Drosophila melanogaster: one gene and its partners. The protein of the gene in region 3 interacts with the protein of the main gene of each other region in a pairwise test. Each region holds a gene or a part of one and is shown on either strand. Other genes may lie near its edges.

Evidence for each region. Proteins that work in one complex are often made in the same cells at the same time.
Region 1: the proteins of tomb (region 3) and comr interact in a two-hybrid assay, tested with the Drosophila melanogaster proteins (one study listed by BioGRID).
Region 2: the proteins of tomb (region 3) and aly interact in a two-hybrid assay, tested with the Drosophila melanogaster proteins (one study listed by BioGRID).

The regions. Positions count from the first base shown.
Region 1 is NT_033778.4:21,863,909-21,869,305, reverse strand, and holds comr (cookie monster), read left to right. Parts: upstream 1-2,446; 5' UTR 2,447-2,512; coding exon 2,513-4,315; 3' UTR 4,316-4,436; downstream 4,437-5,397.
Region 2 is NT_037436.4:3,023,168-3,028,926, reverse strand, and holds aly (always early), read left to right. Parts: upstream 1-2,405; 5' UTR 2,406-2,502; coding exon 2,503-2,603; intron 2,604-2,666; coding exon 2,667-2,942; intron 2,943-3,005; coding exon 3,006-4,335; 3' UTR 4,336-4,798; downstream 4,799-5,759.
Region 3 is NT_033779.5:5,534,952-5,539,340, forward strand, and holds tomb (tombola), read right to left. Parts: upstream 1,808-4,389; 5' UTR 1,776-1,807; coding exon 1,607-1,775; intron 1,545-1,606; coding exon 982-1,544; 3' UTR 910-981; downstream 1-909. Other genes in the region: Cap-D3 (chromosome associated protein D3), read left to right, coding at 1-35, 99-352, 414-806; CG14015 (uncharacterized protein), read right to left, coding at 2,509-2,781, 2,850-3,078, 3,137-3,732, 3,806-4,159.

The DNA.
Region 1 (5,397 bases), on a different chromosome or scaffold from region 3:
GTTTAAACATATTTAGTGAAAAATTTGTGGACATCGAAAATATCAAATTACCAAAACCGGGAATTGCCTTCCAGTCTTAACGGGAATGGATTTTTTAGAGCAAAAGCAAAAGCGGGAGAAATGGGCATTCAATTAGTCACAGTCTACATGGGTGCGAGATTGTAGATAAGGTCGTCAGATACATTGTGAAAATACATTTGCATTCGAACTGGTTGTGTTCTAGGAAATTATATACAATTTAAATTTATTAATATAATAAATATATACAATTTTTAAGAGTATAAGATTTTATGAGCATTGCCTGCACATTTCAAAATCCCATATTCCAAGAAATCCCTTGCTTAATGAACTAAATTGTAAACTCTTTCAATATGTTTAATTGTGGCATTTCTCAAGAAAACGATACGATCATTAATATGCATTGTGTTTTGAAAAATGATTTTTCTGCATGCTATATGGCAAAGTGATATTTTAGCCGCTAATTGTCAAAGTCCACCAAACTTTGGCCCTTAATATGCAGTTCGTAAAATTATGAAATATATTCATTTATTTTAATTAGCTTAACCTCAAGGCGAAGAAAGCGAAGAGCAGAGAGAAATAAGTTCAATGAGACCCCAAGGTTTGCCTTCTGGCAAGTGAAATGATTGATGGATTGGAGCTCCATTGTCTTCACATGAGTCACTAAACCACGAGAATCTTATAGAGCGTATCACTTGCTGCAGTGACTCACTCTAGAATAAGGAAATATAATCGAAACTGGAATCGGGATCGTAAAAATGCAATTCAGATAGCGAAAGGGCGGAAAACAGCTGGAAAAATTCGGGGCTAGAAGGTCGTGCTCAGTCGTCTTCATCTTTAATTGCTTGGAAAACAATAGTCTAAAAGGAAAACCGATGGAGTAGCGCCCCATAAACCATAAAAATGCATAATCTACGACCACTTGACACGCATTAAACAAAAACAAAACAACACTACGGCGGCGGCATTCCTACTTTTATGTTTTATAACGTTTTCAACATTTTATAAAATATTTTTTAGACGAACGAGATGGGAGATCTCCATATATAGTTGAACAATAGTTGTCCCCAGATAAGGAGTAAATAAAGACCTCTAGCTCTCTACCCGTAAAATTAAACTGAAACCGAAACTTATGTAGTGCTTTTTATGAATTCATATAGGGCTTCCGTCACACGACTAAATCAGATCGTAAAAAATGTACAACAAAAGAAACTTTTTCGTTCCGCCAAAAGAAAGAGCAACAAAAAATAGGAAGCAATGAAAAAATTGAAAGGGGTTTCATTGTCAAAATCACGTGCGTGCTGGTATACTATTTTTTTCCAACTGGACTTGTAAATTTATTCGTCATATACAGCCGTTGTTCTTGTTATGCAGCTTTTCATGGGCTGCCCTATGATTTTCGCTCGGAAATTACAACTTTGTCATCAAATTCGGACTGTAAACATTACAACTAGTGTAATAAAAGAACAATAAAATTGGCGGAAATATTCGCCAAAGAAATTGAGCAATGAAATGCATAATTATATTCACTAGACGAACTATTCACATCAGTAATTTACCAATAACTAAAGAAGCTATAAAGAGCAGGGTATTATAATATTCAATAGATTCAAGCAGCTGACGACATTTTTTTAATTTACTCCTGGTGACACGTGAGATTATTGCATAAAATTCTTGTCAGTCCGATTTTTTTCGCCTGTGCCAAAAACTCAGCAGTTTGTTCATCCAAATATCGTGCATCAGTCAGAATAATTGGGGGGGTGTTCGCCATGGATGATTCGTGATTAAAGGATGTGTATTAAATATTCATATGAATGTCAATTTAAAGCTATCTCTTTCGGCACAGTGTCACCCTCTCTTTCTCATTGACTGGTTATAGACCAGTTGAGTGCCAGTGTTGGCGGCTTTTTGTTGTCTCGGCTTTGGTCTGCATTATTGTTGATATAGCCCATGAATCCCCAATTGAAAGGCTTCCCTTACTTTCCTTTTTGAACTTTGCCGCCCTTGGAAACAAATGGGAGGGTTAAAACTGGGGGTTTTGGGGTTATAAATAACAATAGATTTATTGCAAACAAAACATGAAGTGCATTCAAATAAAATGAAAGGAGCTTTGTTTGGTTTTCGCCTGTCTACTCTTTCACTAAAGCTAAATTGTGTAACTTTAATTTATCAATAAGAATTTTTGGCAGCAGAATAATAATAGTGGAATGCAAGGCTTATTTAACATGTAAAAAAAAGAAGTTTTGAACATTAAGTGTGACTGCTTAAAGTACACCGATGAGAGTGTGTTTTCTTAAAAATCATCGATAGAAACTGTAAAGGATAACAGAAAAACTTAGCAACACTTTTTCCGAATGGAAAACAACAGCAGGGCAACCCTTAAAGTGGGCCAACATTTCGTTTGTCAGTCCTCATATTTTTCCGGCTTGCTCGTTTGCCCGAATATTTGTTTGAGAACTAAAAAGTCATCGAAGTTTGTAAATACAAAAGGATAATGTCGGGGAACCAAGACACTTTGGGCCAGTCACAGCAGGTCAATGAAAGTGGTGATGAATATGAAGAAGACGCAGCAACAAGTTGGACAAATGAGTTGGAACAGCAGGAGTCCAGGACGCCAGCGGATAGCCCCGAGTTTCTGGATTTTGTGGACTCCGAGGATCCGCTGGAAGATTTCGAAAGAAATCCTTTGCAGAAGGAGCCCCTCGATCTGGCAGTTAAACCTGTTTCCGACATCAATAAGAAGGCAGCGGAGAATCACAGGCGGATTTACCGACAATTGGGTATCCATATCCCGGAAACGCCAAAAAGCCATCCTCTACTCCATTATGCATTCGTCGTGAAACTGTTCCTGGCCACCGATAATAGCTCCATTCACTACCTCAAGTGGTCGGCAAATGGCCGCGAACTGGAGGTCGATTACCAGGGTATGCAGGAGCATTTGTCCAGCGGGTGTTCCATGTTTCATTGTCGAAATACATTGCAATTTACGGGCACTCTATTGGCCCACGGATTCGAACGCGTTTCATTGAAGGATGTGCGTAAATCCTCAGCCACCAACATCACGCTGATCTATCGGAATCCAAATTTCGTTAAGGGTCAGTTACTCAAATTGCATAAACTGGCTCAGGAATGTGAGAAAATACCTGAAATTTCAAGCCCGGGAACGGCGGAGCCGCGACGACCACCTCTGCACCTCCCGAACTATGCCCATATTTCCAGGATGGTACGGCGAGGAGATCTCTGCTCCACTCCCTACACATCCCGTTCTGCTCTGCAAGTGGCTCGATGTCATTTCCAAACTCTGCTAGGATATCAAGCCGATCTGGGTGTCCTTAAGGATCGCAACAATCACGATATGTTCAACAAGAACATTATGACGCAACTGAATGTGAAGAGGGGGCGTTCGTCTATCAATAACGCCCCCGTAGACTTAGCGCCCAGTAAAGTTTCCTTTGAGAAATTCGTAAAGCCGCACGAATCTGTGATTAATATCGGAATTGGCCAAGCTCCCGATTATGCCGGTTATTATGGCCAGGTCGAGCTATTCAAAGTCAACGAGTTCTTCTCCGAATATCTGCCGCGCTATGGTAGCAAAATCACCGGCTACAAGGAAATAGTTATGGATGCCACCAATAAGTCCATTGGTTTCCAGCAGAATCTGCCAATCGGCATGAATTACTCGGATGATGAAGACGATGCCCTGCCACCGATTTCATCGGACCTCGACTTGGACTTCATGCCATCCACCTCAGCGGCGGCGAAGATGAAATCTACAGGTCGCAAGGTAGTGGAGGACTCGGACTTGGAGCAGGCTATGCAGGAATTGTGCGGCGGTTCTAATCTTAACGAAGAGGAGGAACTTCCACAGACCAGCACCAGGTTTAAAGCAAAGCCCAAACCAAGAGCCAAAACCAAAGCCAAACCCACGAAACGCCAAGCTAAACCCGTACATTCCAGTTCCAGCGAATGCGAAGATTTCAAGCCAGACGAAGTGTATGAAGGTTTTAAGTCTAGAAACCCAAAGAACGTTAAGTTAAAGCCTAGTGACGAAAATATCTCCTATACTCTTGAAGAAGGAACTGATTTCGAGGAGCAAGTCATAGAAGAAACGACCGAAACCAAGGTGCAGGATTCGCAATACGATGACCTGGATGATGACGACGACGACGAGGAAGAGGATTACTTCGACGAGGATGACGAGGATTATGTTTACAAAAATTTGCAGTACAGGAACCCTCCTGAACCGCCAAAAAGCCGACGCTATGATCTACGCAACTCCAAGCGAAATCCTCGTTGAGTCTGCCACTCATTGGAATTGTATGGTATATCTAAGGCAACTAGGAGTTATTATTTGTTAAATCAAATACTTGACTGTGTGGATTTGTGCACCAAACAATTAAACGTTATTTAGTAACTTTAAAGAGGATTTTATTTAAAACTTACGGTACGCATCTTCGGACCATTCACCTCTGCCATATCTTTTGTTTATTCAACTTTAGGCCCATTCCTTTAACCATCTTCCATTGGGCATATCTAAACCTTTCATTATAGCTTTTGTTGGTCTTCTTCGAAGGCAATAAGTTTGGACATATGGGCAATTAAATCGCTTATCGCTCTTTGATCTCTCACGCCCTCAGTGCCCCATTACCGAGGCCAATCAAAAGTGTAATATCATCTGGAAATATCTTACCAATTCGAACCGAGGGCCAGCACCCACACGAACTCACAAAAACCGAAAACGTATAACCAGAAAATAAAGGAAAAAACCAGACAGGGGCACAATCAGTCGGATGTTTACAAGTTTTATGAGCCACCAAATAACAAGATGAACAACAGGCAACCGAAAACGAAACCAAAACCAAAACCAGAACCAAAGCGAAACTTAAACGATACTTGATTTCGAAGGGATTTCGGATTTGTGGTGTACCTCGCACCGCATTTGCAAGAGGCGCAAAAAATAAGCGCTTTTTTTTTATATATATAACTCAGCGTGAGCCGAGACACGATTTTTATCGTCTTTAATTTGCTTTTTATTTGATATCATATTTCAAGACAGCCGGACGGATCAAATCGGTTTGGTCCCACTCGCAGAACTCTGGAGCGTTGAAAACAAAAGCCGGTATCCTCTTATTTGCCGGCTCCGCTCCTCCGAAAAATCCCAAAACAGATTTTTCGGTTGGCAAAAGAGGAGAAACCTTGAGTCAAGACGTCATAATGTCATAAAAATGTCACATACTTTTAATAACTTTATGACAGCTACAAAATCATAAACAAAATGCTCTGACAGCAGCACACGAACTGCGAGAAGGCGAGGGATTCTGCGGTTGAGTTCTTTTGGGAGTCCTCATAATGAGATGTGTCATGTTTTGCCTTCTGAGA
Region 2 (5,759 bases), on a different chromosome or scaffold from region 3:
TTTTTCTGCTTTTCATTGCGGGTTGTTCAACATTTCCCACAGGTTCAAATGTTGTTTCACTTTGATGTGGGTAGCAGTCGCATATATTTATAATTATTATTGGCATTTCCAAGGGTCGAATTCGACCCTTTTTTGTGGCCTTATGATAGCGGTCGAAAGCACGCTCCTTGTCAAATGATTTTTCATAAAGAAAAATAACCGAATAAAAACCGAAAATTGATTCAACTGTCGCTTTCGCGCTTTCAATTAATGCGACAAATGTGTGAGTATATGGCATAAATATAAAGAAGCTTTGTTCCTTTTTGCAAGTCTGCTTTTTGTTTTTGTTGGCCAATACGTGACTTTACCCAGAAAGTCATTGACTTTCACAGACTCCCCCGAGTGGCTTTGTTATGTCCGCTCTAAAATCGTGCTTTAAAGACCGAACTCTCGAATCAATTAATGCGCTCCATGGCCATGAAAGTGGCGAGTGGCGATAAGCCAGCTCCAACCCATGTGGCCCCCCAACTGGGAGCTGGCGATACAAACTGCTTCAATTTTAATGTCCTCAAACTGTCATAAACTGTAAATGCACAGTAAAAGCCATGAGTATAAGGCGGGCAAGCTGCGACAGATTCTGTCGTGTAGATGGCCAAGAAGCTAAAGCTGTCAGCTCAAGAGTTTAAGTTCGACAAGCTGGTGAAACTATTGTATCTTACACTGAAGTCCGATTTTCACTTAAATATTATATGTACTTCGTTTATTTAAACCTAATATAAAAGTGGGAAATTAATTGCCCCACTAAGTGTTAATCCTTTTCATACTAACGCTGTATACCTTTTGACACCTTCATGGTTGACTTCTGATTCACATACGCCCATTTAAAACACCCCTCACTCTTTGAACTCGATTTTTTAGGTTCACTGAGCAAACCTTTTTTTTTAACACGCTTGCGTGTGCCGTTCAACATTTAGCCAGTTTTTTGGGCCAGTGCAAAGACGACCCGCAGGCTGAAAGCCAACATTCGCTATACAGGGTACAATATAGCCGCATGAGAATACCCATTCATATGTATATGTATGTATGTATGAATGAAGTCGTGCACATGAGTAACCCGTTGGCACGACCTATCATCGCCCATTCCGCTGGCTAAGGCCTCCTGGCTGGGCGATGGGCGGTGGGTGGTAGGTGGGCGTGGCACGTGTCGCCTGCAGCTTTCATTAGTTCAATGTCAATGTTTTGTTTTGTGATCCTGGAACACAAAAACTGAAGAACATGGGAACCATCCAGCTGTCTGCCTTGGGTTTTTAATTTTAAGCGCATGTTGCTGGCCTCCAGCCAGCCACCTGCATCACCTTTGCCTGTCTGCTGATTAAGTGAGTACAAGCTGCAGGTGTCCTGCATTAGGACATCCCGCTGCTCCTTCGAGGCGAAAGGAATGCAAATTAAAACTGGTATCTCTTCCTTCTGTCACCGATTCTGCGGAAGCTCTGTGTGCACAGCAAATTGAATGAGGTGCACAGACGGCAATCGATATCTCGATGGAGGAAGTAATCTTTAAGTTCCTTTAAGTCTGAATATCTGGATATCCAATTTCCTTTTTCCCAGAAAACGACCGCAACACATGTCGAAAGTTTGCGGGCACAAACCATTGGCATACACTGAGGTGTATTTATAATTTAATTTAATTTAATTTAGAATTCCGTTTTATATAATTAAATATGGAATTTGGATGTTAAAACAAGTGTGTGTTTCAGCGTTTCTAACTAAATACTCTCGGAATTTCATTAGCAATTCTCTTGTCTTTGTACCCTTTTTTTTTGCAGTGCACAGGCGTACTTACCACATCACAGACATGGAAATTAGGCCAAAAGTGCGCAGGCAATAATGCTGAAATCCATTTACGTAATTCGAAATCCGCTGGCGGCGTTTTAGCCACGACAACAGTCGTATGCAAACTTTATTAATTACGCGCCCCGATGACCATTACCACCATATCGACCATCTACTATTGACCATGAAGCCATTCTTGCAGTCCGGCGAAACTTTGGCTGTTTACTATTTTGCTAGGCTGAGTTTCGGCCACCCATTGTTGTGTTGCGCAATTGGCACCAGCTATGAAAATCACGCAAAAGTTTTTCAAATTAAAAATTCAACAGATTTCACTCGGAAAATCAACAACCCTGGAAAGCGGCATATAACAAAAAACAAAATCAATGAATTAAAAAAAAAAAATTACATAATTCGATTGAGCCTGCTGTTCATAAAAAATATTGATACTGTTTATTAAAATCCATGTAAGACTTTAGTTGTTTTAATTTAATTTATCAGAACTGTTACTTTAATAATGACTTTAGTTAGTACCTTAGAAAATATGGCAACCCTTGACAGAATTGAAATATGTTGGCAACCCAAGTTTGGAGGCCATATGTCAAATGGCGTGAGACTTTTAACAAAAAAAACATTTGGTTCAGAAAAACTTCGCTTAAATTACTAAAGAAAAACTTAGTAGACCATTTCAGCATGTCAGTTGATCCACTATCAATCGATAATTTCACAATCCAATCTGAGATCTGCGAAGAAAACGAGTTTCTGGCAAATATAGGATTACTATCTACGACAACGTAATATTTTCTCCTTTTCTATCAAATATTAAAATAGAACTATAACTGTGCTACCATCCGTAGAATGTCGCGTCATCAATTGAAGAAACCCAGAAAGATGGTGGCGGCATGGCAAAACGATGAATTATTTATTAAACGCCCAAATTTCGCCCCGCGTATTAGGATTTCCGAAAAGCCAGAGATCCAGGGAAGAATTAAACCAGGCGTGGCGTCCAAAAGGACTGAGAACTTTACAAAGAAGCCGTCCAATATATCTGTAGATGTTTCGGAGGACGAGAAAGCGAAGGAAAAGGAAAAGGAGCAGGATCCCTACTCCAATGACTTTATACTTGGCAAGAGGTTCGTAATGGGAAAGATTCCCTAGAGATCCCTTTAAGTGCTTAATTGTTCATTCTCCTTTAGATTGTACAATTTCCTGAAGTATCTCAGCTCTCACCGTTGGATTTGGTGTGAGTTCGTCGACTCCTTCCTGGACAAGCCGACCCTGACCATGGGCTACGATATGAAGCGCTTCATAGCGGAGTACTGTCCGCTCCTGCACTCTTGCTTCATGCCCCGCAGAGGATGGCAATTGGTACGTCGGAATATGGGGAAGGCGCGTCGATTTTCGGCCGCCTTCATCGAGCTGGAACGCGAAGAATTGGAGTGCCAGCGCCGCATTGTGCGCCAGTTGCAGCAGCATAAGTTCAATCCCAAGGAGAACGTGGGCTACTTGGACCAGATACCCAAGCGTGTGCCCCTGCCACTGGCCAAGGATGCCACGGTCAGCAGTTTTCTGCACGGAAACTCCTTTGAGGGCATCGTCAATGGCACTGTCATGGGCTACGATCCGCAGGACTACACCTATCTGGTTCGATTCAATAGAAACGACAATGCAGTCGTGCTCAGTCTTCCGGATTCACAGCTCTATTCCGACGAGGAAACCGCGGCGGTTCCCTTGTCAATTATTATGCGCGGCAACAAATCGTCCTCGGTTATTTCGGAGAGCGCCAAGACCGAGAAGTTCGGAAACAAGAGGTACACCAAGGAACTTCTGGAATCAGTGCTAAGGGTTGGTAAACTACAGGATGTCAAGCACAAGATCCTCATGGACTTGGCCCGAATGAATGAGGATTTCGAGACATTCAAGGAGATTGGTTCTTCAAGTAGTCGTCGCGATGCCAAGGTCACACCTCAGCGTGAGAATCTCCAGCGTCGCTATTCGGCCAGCATGATAACGCTGCACCGAGTGAACGCTGATATCCTTGAACCGCTGCGCATCCTGCACGACTACCTGGTCGAGTATCAGAAGCAGGACGAGGAGGAGGAGTCCAAAAGAGGTCGTCCCGCCAGCGAAGTCTATCAGAAGTGTCGCATGCAGGCGGAACAGGACCTCAAGACTGCCGCGGATGAGAAATTCCTGAAGATAGAATCGGATCGCACGCAGGAGTTCGTCCGCAACCTTCACACCATACTGTATCTCAATGGAAAGCTGGGGCGCGAGAACAGCTCCAATTTGGAGACGATTATCGCTGATCTGGTTACCCACATGGTGGACAACATCCAGCCATCGCTGGGCCGGAAATTAAAAGATGGCGTCGATTCCCTGGAGCCTCTGCGTCAGCAGGTGGTGCAAATATTTAAAGACGTCAAAAAACCAGAGCGCTTCCAAATCACCCAGCAGGCTCCGATGCAAACCGAGGATGGTATCTACAACTTTGTGGTCGAGGCACAGCCGGATACTCCCAGCTAAACACACTACCTACTGGCCCTTTGGAATACTGAAATAAAGCCTCGCTCTTATTTATGGCTCAATTAGGAGGAGTGTCATGTGCATTGGGAGTTTGCCGGCAGAGGAGCTTAACGAAGTTTCTTGTGGCTGCTACCTTGTAGAGCTCTTTTGGTACTTACGCGAAGGGGTAGTTGGGGGGGGGGGGTACGTGGTTCTAGGATTTATTTCAAGTTTCCAGTGGCACGTTCCACAGGAAGTCAGCCGTAAAACAGTTGACAGATTGGCAACCAAATAAGTAATGCGTATGTGAACGAAAACTTTAAGGGGGCACTCAAAAAAGGATAATCACTGGGGAATGTTTGCTTTTTCTAAAGGGCCTGTAAATGTGTTACAACTTTGATGATAGAAAGTGTAGTTTATTAAATACTTAAAAATGATTAAGAAAAACTCTTACTATAACTCTCTAAGTACTAATAAACCCTGCAAAAAGGAGGTATGGAAATTTTCTCTTTTTTTGAGGCTAAATTTTGTGCAGCAATGTTGCATCCCCACATAAATCAGCATTTACGAGTAAAGTGTTTTCTATTTTTTAATTACTAGATGGATGCACTACGCTCGTAAATTGTGCGGGTGAGCCAGTTCCGCCGGGGAATTTGCCAACGCCCATGTGGCCGCCATAAAGACATCATTAATATGCCTCCGGATGCACTGCGTCGCTCTGTCCCCCGGGAGGAGAAACGATCGGCAAAGGAGCTGATGGCGTGTGTCCTGCGGGAATGGACTCTGGCCATTTTGCTCCCCCGGATGTGTCGTCGTCATCGACTAAGATGTGCGTATCCTCCACGGAATCCACCCGAGCGGGCGGCTCGTAAATATTTATAATACGTTGAAGCTGCAGGGGCGGCGAATCCGGCTATAAATTTATCGAGTGCAACATTTTTTCCACTATATGTTACAACTGTGGTAAAGACTCTGGTTGAGGATGCATTCAAAATTAAATGTTTTATTCGTATTCCTGATTAGAATGACCAGTCAAGTCAATGTGATAGTAATTTTTTTTCGCAGTGCCTTGCAGTACTTGTGCTCACAAGAATATGGCTGTAATGAAATATATATTTAGGCATTAACTTGATTAATGTATTTATTTTGAACGTTTCAATAGCCTCGCAAACTTGAAGAACACTTGAAGAACAAAAAAATCGACAGACGTGGTAGTTTGACATCAAGGATCCCCCAGCCAGGATAAACAAACGTAACAAATGGCAGCAAATAAATGTGGGCAGGCCAAGTTTATACGGTCAAGTATCCGCGTGGACCAACTCGTGTTGTGAAAGTTGTGAATGTTGGTTGGCTACTCGTGCTAAATGTAATTCAATACACCGCCTTACATAATGCATTCGAGATGACTAAAGTTTTTTTTATTCCGTTGACACTTGATCATTAAT
Region 3 (4,389 bases):
GTTGCTTTACTTCGGCCAACTAAAACTGCTGGCAGGTGAGTAAAGTTGTTTTATACATACTTCAAGTAGATATGCTAAGATATATATACTTCTTGTAGAAAAGACCAGAGACCAAGCATTCATCAACAATCCCGACGCCCTGATTGTGGTTCAGGATATGCTCTTCATCATGCGCCGCATTTGCTATTGCACCAAGGGAATGGGTAAAGAGAAGAACTCTCGTGGCGAGGGCGACAATATCGATGAAGGTGAAGATGCGTCATCGGAGCCAGCAACTCCACCAACTAGACCAGAAGCAGGCGAGGCAACAAGCAGAGGAAGAGGGCGAAAGGCGGACATGTCCGAGGAGCCAGTATGTAAATCTAACTGATTAACTTTTCCCCCTTGAGCTAAATGTTCAAATTCCTTTGCAGCTCAAGCAACTGGAACGCTGTCTTCGCTTTGTGGAAGAAACCCATCGCAACATAGTGCCCGTCATGAGTCCCGAGCTTAGTCACAACTTTGAATCCTTTTGCCGAGCGATGGCCATGAGATTCCCCAACTACATTGAGTTCGCCCAGCCCGCGCAATTTTGGCGGCAGTTTCGATCATCGGCGAAAGCTCCCAGAGCGAGCAGAAGCAAGCGACGACGTATGGAGGAGGGCGAAGTCGAGTCCCATGAGGAGCACGAGTCGGAGAGCGACAGTGACAGTGAGCTGCCGCTGGACAGGCACAAGACCACGCCGACTGCCTCCCGTTTGTCCCAAAGGAAAACCAGCTGCGATATGCTTGTCACCGAGCTGATTTTCCAGCCACCCGATTGGTAGTTTCAATTTTTGCGACCTTGCAAACTGAATTTCTCAATTATTTAGTTTTACACAAATCGAATATTGTATTATTTTGCATTATAAAATGTACATATGTATGTATCTATAAGCCAAAAATGGAATCAAGTTATTCTTGACCTTGAAACTATTTAATAAGCCATTTTGACGTTTTGAGTTAATAATAATCCTTGCTGTACTCGCATATTTTCTCCAAAATGTTCTTGTAGCCGCGCATAAACTCTTCGAGCACCAGCTGGCACACTTGGAGCTCGTTCAGGCCCAACTGTTCGGCTTCCGTGGCCTGGATGAGCATGCACTCCAGCAGAGCCGCGTTCACCGGCTGCACGAAGAGATTCCGATCCCTGCGATCGTCGTGCCGCACCGGAATGATCAGATTGACGGGCATCGGAGGTTCCGCCGGTTGCTTCACTGCCCTGGCTGGAGTGGCGGCAGTCGCTATGGGTCGTGAGATGGGTATGGGGTTAATGTGACTACTAGCCATCGGTGGTTTGCCAGCCACTAGGGTATACTTTGGCGGCGTCATTAGCGCCTTGCCGGGCAACGCCAAAGTGGATGCCGCCACCTGGAGCGCCTTGCCCTGGACATCGATGCCCGCCTTGGCAGCTGCGGCTGCTGCCTTGGCGCTCATCGCAGCCGCCTTCTGCCTTTTCACAGCGCTGGAATTCTTGGCCACGGAGTTGGGGTCCACCAACTCGCGCACCTCTGTGTTCCTGCAGCCTGCATTACAGGGTATATGAGTGCCGTAGGGTATATTTATGCTTATAGAAATGAAATCATACCAACGCATCGACAGAACTTGGTGCAGATGGCCATGGACTGATAGCAGTCGCAGTAGTTCTTGATGCACTGCGACCGCTTGCAGCAGCATCCCTTCACGCCGCCTGCTCCTTGACCCTTGCCCTTCTTGCCATCCGCTTTATCCACACTTCTTTTCTTGGGCGATGGCATGTTGCTGCCTTAATCTCTTCCAGAAACGAACTGATGACAGCTCCAACAAAAAAAATCAGTGTTGAAAGGATGGCAACCCTTATACATATAAAAATATATATGTATAAATAAAACAGCAATATTGTGGGCACTAAACTATTAAAGCTTAGATAAAGTATTTATATGTCGTACTGGTAATAAAGTTAAAATTTGTTAAGTACCAATCGTTTAACAAGTGTCTAGTTTATATCGTTATAACATAGATAATTTCCTTTGGTGTCTACATAATATGGCATGGCATTAAGTTATGATATTGTTCTCCTCTACTCGTTTAGTCTACGATAATTGAAAGCTATTTTATATTATAGATGTAATAAAAAGAGTTACATTATTAATTGATATCAATTGTAATTGCTTTCCTTTCATATATATTCTGTGTCGAGTGATTTGGCAGCGAAACCAACTCAAACCTCTTCTCAAAATTCTCTTTTTTTGATTGGCGTTTAGTACTTAAATTACTTATGTAATTGGAATGAAGTGCGTTGCATTTCCCGCCAAAAAACTCGACATTTGGGCGCGCGTTTTCAAAAATATCACTATCAAAACGATATATTTATGCAGTGTGTAAATGTGTGCAGCAGAAGACTTCTTAACAGTTGGAAAGTAATTGAGTGGCCTGCAATCGTTGCTATTGCTTCTAAAGTAACTAGGATTATCTCCGCTGCGCTCCTAACTAGTCCCACTTGGTGCGCTCCTAGCATATGGTTCCATTGAGCAGCTCGTAACAGTTGGGCGGCGATGCTGGCGAGGCTGCTGCCGCCGCCTCCTGTCGCGTCTTCAGAAAGTTGCCCACCCAATGGGCCGTGAGATCCAGATATTTCGTTCTCGAGCCCGGATTGTAGTCGAGGAAGCCGGCGCGTGGCATCACCTCCTCGATCTGGCTGCCATCCGGCCAGTTGTTGTAGCTGGCTATGTTGATGAAGCCCACGTGGTTGAGAATGGCTGTCCGCCAGGCCACGCCATAGTACTGCAAGATCAAATGATATTAGTATTAGTAGCCTGTTCTGGCACTCCAGTTGATGGCTGCTCCTTCACCCGTCCATTGCTGCGATGCCGCTGGATGTCTCCGTGTCGCGGAAACTTGTTCCTCTCCGCGAATCCCGGACCCACCGTGGGCACAAAGAGCATCTTGTAGGACAGCGCAAATGACTTCAGATACGACCAGTTCTTCCAAGTGCTGGCGAAGACAGCTCCATTGCTGGGCAGTTTGCTGTAGAAGCCATCGAAGCACAACCTCCGCAGGACATCGGCATGGCTTTTGAGCCTGGAGAGAAACGAAAGGATATATAGAATCACCTAGGATAATCTAAGGCGCACCCCACCTTATGTGTCCAATGAATAAGGCATCCAGAATTCTCCGCAGACCATCCGGTTCCACCAGCGAAGGCGATCGACACAACAGCCTTCCCAGACTATCACTCAACTTGTAGGCATTGCTCACGTAGAGAACCGGCAGGGAGACACCTCTCGACTGACTCCACACCTTGTAGAATCCAGCTAGGCTGGTGTATGTGGCAATCTCCTGCAGCTGCTGGCGCACAAACTCCACGCTCTGATTCCCGGCCACACTGAGCTCAAAGGTAACGCTAAGATTGTGCTGCGGTGCCAGTTCCAAGATCTGATGCAGCAGTGCCGCCTCCGCGGGCTTGCCACCGGAGAAGCTCAGGATGAGCACACCGATGCCACAGCTGCGTATGTTCTCGAAATGCTGGGCCAGCAGCGAGCCACTGGGCTTGTACAGACCCAGTGCCGGATAGAAGGCGGTGTTTAGGATTCGCACTGGTCGCGGCGTGGTCAGTGGCACATCGTTTGGGTGCTCCGCTGGCGGCGGAGGCGGCTTCTTCGACTTGTACCACGGCACCGGGGCAGTGTAGAATATGTGCACTGCACTGATCACCACATCCAAAGTGGTACGCGACTGAACAAAGTGTACATTTTTAAGATTTAAGGACTAAGATTGGCCACCTTCTTGGACTGAACTGGAAACTTACAGACTGCTCCGCCTCGTGGTCCCGCTGCTGCTGCTGCTTCATCAGATCGATTTTGCTCTGAATGATGCGCTCCTTGATCTTCTGCTCGTCATACTTCTCGGGCACAATCACTCCGTTCTCCCGCTGCGGCTGGAGCAGCGCGACGGCCACCGGCGGCGGCTTCTCCGCCACTTGGGGCTGATCCCCGGGCCTGTAGGCGCGTGCGATGAATCGCTCGTCCAGCAGCAGTTCGATGGCCGCATTGCGTCCGCTGGAGCCCAGCACTATGATGGTGATGACCAGCAGGGCGACGATGGCCAGCAGGAGTAGAATCTTCAGCTTACGCCGCGTTTTCACATACTTTTTTAGCAGCATTTTCGCAAGCGTGCATTTTCTCTCATTGTTTGGACGTCCTCGTTGTTTTTCGTCCCCAGTTTTTCGTACCTCCACCCCACAACCCCTTCTCTTCCTGTCGCAATGCAGCTGCCGGAAGTTCCTGGCCATTGCGCATGTCCTGAAACGGACACACTAAACTATGCCCAGCGAGTTCCCAATTACCATTTCACCATTAAAGCATATGCGAGTTTGTTATTTTTTTTGGACAT